2 linked regions of the Solanum lycopersicum genome follow. The protein of the gene in region 2 interacts with the protein of the main gene of each other region in a pairwise test. Links are inferred from orthologs where the notes say so. Each region holds a gene or a part of one and is shown on either strand. Other genes may lie near its edges.

Region 1 (3,118 bases), on a different chromosome or scaffold from region 2:
TACAAATTGTACAAACATGCGCACACGAGCACAAACAAGTGCGTGAGATTATACCAGCAAGAGTAGTTGTGGAGTAGTAAGTACTCCTTTATCTTTAATCAGAGGTCTCGAGTTCAAGTCCTTCTGAATACAGAGTCACCTTTATTAGGAAACACTAAATCCTAATATGAAATTTTCCAACGCTAATCTAAATTTAACCAGACCCCCAGATACCAAATTGAAAATCGAAAAAATAAATAAATGTGTGTGAGGTGGGCCAAAGAGTATAATCATATTCAATTTCTTCTCACGTCACTGTTTTATTCCCGGGAGAGAATTCAGCCAAACGAACTTTTTGATGATCAGAAAAAATAAATAGATAAAAACCATATTCTATAATTATTAATATACTAGTATATACCAACATACGTAACTCAACTCTAACCGTTGTGATGATTATCATGCCCTTTAAGTCAACACAATCCTAACAAACCTATTTTTTTTAGTTCACAATTCACATGATCCACTATACACAAATAATTAATTATTCCTCTATATATAATATTTTTATTCTTAAAAATTCCAATTACTACACAATAATAATAATAATAATAATAATAATAATAATAATATGACCTAACTAATTACCAATTACCTCATAAGGTGGATCCAATGTAGTGTTACCAACAAAAGTTGTAACATTATTGGTTGTAGTACTACTAGAGGAGCCAAGAATCAGACCTTTTGTACTTGGTGTGACAATATTATTTGCCCAATTTTCATTATTAGGGCATGACGATACTGGTATCTGTGCTGGTGGGAGGTTATGATTCGATGATTGTAATTGACGGATTTGTCTTTTTAAGAACTTAACATAGCGAATTGCTTCGTCTAACATGGATGCAGTGTCCATTTTTGTTCCACCAGGGACTAATCTTTGCAAGATTCTGATTTTTTCACTTATCCTTTCGCGGCGTAGCCTGGCTGCTACGCTTTGTGGATCATTGCTTATACGTACGTTACGCCTTTTAGGTTTTCGTATAGTGGATGGATCAATGTCTACTGGTTGCATAGATGCAATTTTGAACATCATTTCTTTCATGGCTCCTAGCTCTTCTTCTTCCTCTTCATCTTCGTCTTGATCATCGTGTTCTTGATCCTCTATTAGGGTTTGAACATGGTTGTTTAACACATGATCAAAAGGGACAACTACTACTTCTTCTTGTTGTTGTTGTTGTTGTTGGGTTGAGGAGGAGGGAAGGTGATGGTGTTGAGGGTTTTGAAGAGGAAAACTAGGCCAAATAGGGTTATGTTCGAAATGAAATTGTTGTTGATGATGATGATGTTCGTGGTAGATATGGTCGTTTGGTATACTGGACAAGCATGGTTGTTGTTGTTGTTGTTGATCGCGAAAGACTTGTTGGTTGTCCATATTGGACATGGTTGGATCCCAAGTGGAGGTAGTGAGTTTATTAATGTGGTTGATATCCATGGTAAGAAGAGTATAAAGGGTGAATATATCAAGAAAGAAGAAGAAGAAGAATATCTATTGTGTTTTTTTTGTGTCATTATGAAAATATTTTTCTCATATTTATTGAAACCCTTTAACCAAAAATTGTAATTAAAAAGAAAAAGAAAAAAAAGAGGGGTGCAAAAAGGGAGGTGACTTATTGCAAAGTTGAATCAAAGCTCATGAATATGTACTTTGTGTGAAGCCTTTGAAGGCTAAATAGTACATCTTCGTAGGGTAGTGAAAAGGTGTAAGTTATATACATTATGACATACACAATTCGTACATATATATTTACATGTATATATGTCAATATATAGAGGGACAAATGGAAGAAGGGGGTGGGGGTGTTACAAACTTTATTGAGTCTCTAATAAAAGTAAAATGCGGAGCCGAGATTTAGAATTTGTTAAGTTGAGATTGTAGTAATCATTTTTAAGTTACTAGTCTAACAACAACAACAACATGCTCAGTCGTTTGAGTTGTTGATCTAACAACAACTATTATAAAATTGTAAAAATAAATATATGATATGAATCAAAGTATCGTAAACTATACTCCAGCTCCGAGCTAAAATAATAATTATTGTGGGAGGGGGACCACAAGATCAAGTTATTTTCAAAAATAAATAGATAAACAAAAAGAAGTTTCTATTTTTGTGAGGGTTGTGGGTTGGGGGGGAGTGTGTTTCAAAGGCCATAAATGTCCTACTTTTGCTATATTGGTATACAAGTGCATTTAGTAGAGACTTGTTGCCTTTGCTTCATCCCTAGAATTTATCTATTTGTTTTGCTTAATTTGCTAGCCATCAAAATCAATTGATAAATTCTTCATGACTTGGGTGTGATCTAGAGGTTAATACCGCATGAAAATATTAGAAAATAATTTCAGATTTTTATTGATTTTTATAGGATTCCTATTGAATTGAGACTCGTGTCATTATATAGGAAGTATTCAGATTTGTATTTATCATTTTTTTCTGGAAAGATTTATTATTCTTTGTTGTTCCTAATTGTTAAATTATGATTTCATTCTTTTGTATGATTATTTCAAATCATTATAATTATACTTATATGCAATATACTATATAGTCACACAATTATTTTCTATTAGTTTGTGATATTTGTGAGTTGGTGAAATCATGAGATAGAATACACGTAGATTTTTGTTAATTTTATGTAGATACTTCTCAAATGAGAATCGTTCCATTTTTGTATTTACATCTATGACGATCTATCATATTAATCTTCAATGTCAATTCTATATATATATTATCCCTACTAATATGTTATGCTATAATATTTATTCTCATTGATTACTACATCAAATCTCTTTAATTATAAACTCATATACATTATCATATAGTCACATAAATATATACAATTTTTCTATATGCGAATCATTCATCATGCGAACATTTCCCTCAAATTAACATTGGTGGATCTAGAATCATCAATTTGCCTACTAGAAACTGATAATGTGTTGACCCGTGAATTTTACAAGTACAACAACTATTTGAAGATCTTCGAAAATGTGCGAAAGAGCAATAAATATTTTATCTATAGTTTTTCTTATATAATGACAATCTACTTAGTAGTAATCTGAATAACAATTGTACTTCATAAAGCC
Region 2 (3,855 bases):
CTAGTTATTACGTCTATCATTAGTACACAGCTAAGCATGATATGTTATGTATCAATTTTACATGACAAAATTGAACTTGAATAGTTTCGTTTACCTTCTATAAAATATTTTTATTGGCTAAAATCATTCATACTTTGTGGTTAGATCCTATTATGGATTTTTCACTATATTCTTCAACATCTTTATCTCTTACTTCTCGGAGCTCTGATAATGAAATAAAGAAAAATGAGAAGAAGATACCAACAACAACTGATTGACTTGACTACGTAACTATAGTTCCAGATCTGTTGCATCATATTTGCAATTACCTTAAGGTTGTGAGAGTCGAGAATAAACCCAACCTTTGCTTCGATTAGAGTTTCTACTATCGAGATTTCGGTTAAACCATGACATATTAATGATGCAAATCCAAGAAAAACAAAATTGAAAAAATTAATGCTAAACACACTTTCAATTTGTATAAATTAAAGGTTAATCCAATACCAATAATAATGTAGATTTATACCACTTGAATCACCCAAAAAAAAAAACTACAGATTAATATTTGTATATTTCAGAATAGAGATTAAAACTTTATAAACCTATATGGTATAAGAAATAGAATGATTCACTTTAATTATTTGTTGTACCTGTGAAGAAGGAATAATGTAGCATGATTATAATCCAGGACAACAACTTTAATTCAAAATATTTGAAGTAAAGACGAAGATTCATTTCCTCCACTTGGCTTAGAATCAAATTGCGCGACCTTCATGTGGTTGATTATCATCATCATCATCGTCATCATCGTCATCTTCATCATCTCTGGAACTCATCCATCTAGGATCATTATTGAGACTAAAGGGTTTCATTTGGGAACTAATCAAATTAAGAGTTGGCATCACAAGTTGATTATTGTGTGAAGTAGTTGAGCTTAAGAAATTGAAATGGTTCATATTAGCCCTTGGATCATGACTCTCAATGGGATGATGATTTGTTATATAGTTAGGAGATGGAACTATAGGTTGAAATGTTGTTGTTATTGGATTGAAATACAATTGAGAACTCGAGGGAAAAGGCGAAGATGATGATCCCAAAGATAGAGGGAAACTAGTATTTTGATGAGATTGATCATCATCTATTTGGGATGAAAATGAATGATTATGTCCAAAATGACCTAAAGACAAATTCGAATTAGGCTGATGATCCCATTGATAGTTATAAGAATTGAAAGGCATGCCTGGTAAATTAGATGATCGTTGATTTCCTAAGGTAAACATATTATCCTCTTGATTTGATTCCTCATTTGAAGCGATTGACTTGTTCCTCCCATGTTCCAAATAAGATGTGTTCGCGTTCAACCATTGAGCACGGACATCAGAGAACTCTTCATGAGATGGTTGTTGAAACCGAGTGAAGTACTCAGGTGGTACAGGAAGTGGAGGAAGAGTATCGATATCAAGTTTAGTCGCTTCTAAGAGCCAATCTACAACTTTACTAGGTTGGCTCAGGCCAAGCCTGTCTTGTAGATCATACAATTGAATTGCAGTTGGAACTGATAGTCTAATTCTTCGATCTCTAAGCCCCCTTATGGTGCACACCTTACTATGCCTATCTTTCCCTCCAAAAGTACGCGATACGCGTACTATTCTTGGGTTTTTATTAGCTCCCCATTGCCTTGAAGTACTCGATGGTGGTGCACTAGTCGTCTTTGAGGCCAATCTACTATCATTATTTGATTCTTGTTTCGTCTCAAAATTATTTCCACTCGATGAATTCATGATATGTATATCATATATCGTTCTTCATCAGCATCGATCTAGTAAAAATCAAAGAAAAATATTAAGCATCTATTAGATCGAGATAAAATATTATCAAATTATACTATACACACAAAAAAAAAAAACTCCATCAATGGAAATTTTCTTGTGTACATAGTGCAATTTTTGGGGGAAAATTGGAGTTGTGATTAATATTAGGGTAACCTCCAAAATCATTTCACTAAACACCCAAGACTTTGTAAAAATGACTAAGATCTAAAAAAATAGATGTTTAAAATTTTGTATAAACAATTACTACTATAAGAATCATGAATTGTACTTACATAATTAGGTTTTGTAGAAGATAAACTACAACTTGTATATATATCTTTGAGTGGCTAGCAAAATCTCAACATGGAATTAACAACTCTTGATAACATTTAACTTCTTTTATAATAATTTCTCCCAAGGCTTGGGGGAAAAAATGAGTTTATGGACAAAATTTGACCAAAAGAGAAACAAGAGAGAATAAATTTACAAGGATAAGTTATGGTTTGTAGAAAAAGAAGCAATGTTAGATTCTCACTATGTTATAATATTATCTCAAAAGAGGAAAGTAGAAGGCCACGTGGCGCTTACTCGTGTGTAATTCAATTCTAGGGTTGAGAAAAATGTAAAGTTTTAAGTATTATGTATCTACTGTGTATATAAACTTTTATAGTATTTGTATATATAATCGCGATAATTCTTTGTCCATAGGCTACAAATAATAATGTAATAGAAATTTAATTTCTCGTATTTAGACTACTCCATCATGAATAGTTTTTTTTTTTTAACAGTCTATTAGTCAAGAAGCTAGTTATTGTAGTAGTTTCATATTTTAATTTTAAGTTTTGATTCTATTTAATGATGCTAAGAAAGGAAGGTACACTGTTAACCTCACAAGGACCACTCTAGGGTTAGAAGAAAAAAAAAAGAAAAGGGTTTATTGCTTTTCTGCAAACTATAGTAGTAGTACAAATTAAAATAAATGACTAATCATCCGAATTTAAAATTTTGAATATATATATATATGTTTGTTGTGAGATATTGTCGGTTACATGTAGAATAATTATATTAAATAATAATCAGTTATTAGGGAAAATGATGTGAAATACATTTGAACTTTGATTGATATTATTGTTGTAGTATCAAATTTTAGAAAAGACATTTTACCCCTACATTATTTAATAGTGTATTTTAAAGGTATATATGTATTTACGTGGACATAAAAATATTACATAATTATAAATAGTAATGTGTCTACGTGGACATAAATATACCTTTAAAATACACTATTAAATAGTTTGGAGGAGTGGGGAAGGTTAAAAGGTTCTCCATAAAGTTTCATATCGAAATAGCAATTTCGATCAAAATTGAAGTATTTTTCAGACCTTTTCCCTCGTTATTACAATTGTTGAATAGTGGATTTTTATAAAATAATTGTGTATTTAAAAATTTTAATTGTAATATTCTATTTATAAAAAAAGATATATGGAGATATGTAATTTTTTAATGTGGCGTCGTAGGATGTTATAGTTTCTTGTTTATGAATTATTTTTTACTCTTTGCTAAGATTGTATAAGAATGGGAGAAATTTCGGTGGTTTATACAATTTGTAGAATTTTTTTTTCATGTTTATAAGAAAAAACACAACCCGAGAAATATAAATTACTCATCCAAACAAAAGTTTAATCTCAAATTAATCTGATTTCAAATCATAATTTGTATCGCATGTCCAAGCGAATCCTAATTAAACTCATCTCATACTCCCTCTGTTCGTTTTTAATTGTCATGTTGTGTTTTAAAAAGTCAATTTGATTAATTTTCAAAGTTAAATTAGATTATTAGATATTCAAAAATTATACTAGAAGTACTACAAATTGCATTTTTTTGGCATATCAATAAGATAAAAAAAATCATGGTAAAATATTAATCGAAGTTCTTATCATTTCACTCTAAAAAAAATCATGACAATTAAAAGTGATCGAAGAGAATATTTAAAAGTGATCCAATTTTCTTTATCAGTATTATTATGGGTACTCTTATACTATCTTATTCTTTAATTCTACTTATT

What was found. The genes of interacting proteins can lie anywhere in the genome.
Region 1: the proteins of TCP4 (region 2) and transcription factor HEC3 interact in binary tests that used the Arabidopsis thaliana proteins (3 or more experiments, as listed by UniProt). The link is inferred for Solanum lycopersicum from reciprocal best matches to the Arabidopsis thaliana genes TCP5 and HEC3.

Annotation. Positions count from the first base shown.
Region 1 is NC_090810.1:1,211,105-1,214,222, reverse strand, and holds transcription factor HEC3, read right to left. Parts: upstream 1,606-3,118; 5' UTR 1,472-1,605; coding exon 620-1,471; 3' UTR 509-619; downstream 1-508. UniProt on the Arabidopsis thaliana protein: Required for the female reproductive tract development and fertility.
Region 2 is NC_090802.1:61,726,960-61,730,814, forward strand, and holds TCP4 (TCP transcription factor 4), read right to left. Parts: upstream 2,260-3,855; 5' UTR 2,084-2,259; intron 1,799-2,083; 5' UTR 1,761-1,798; coding exon 735-1,760; 3' UTR 552-734; downstream 1-551.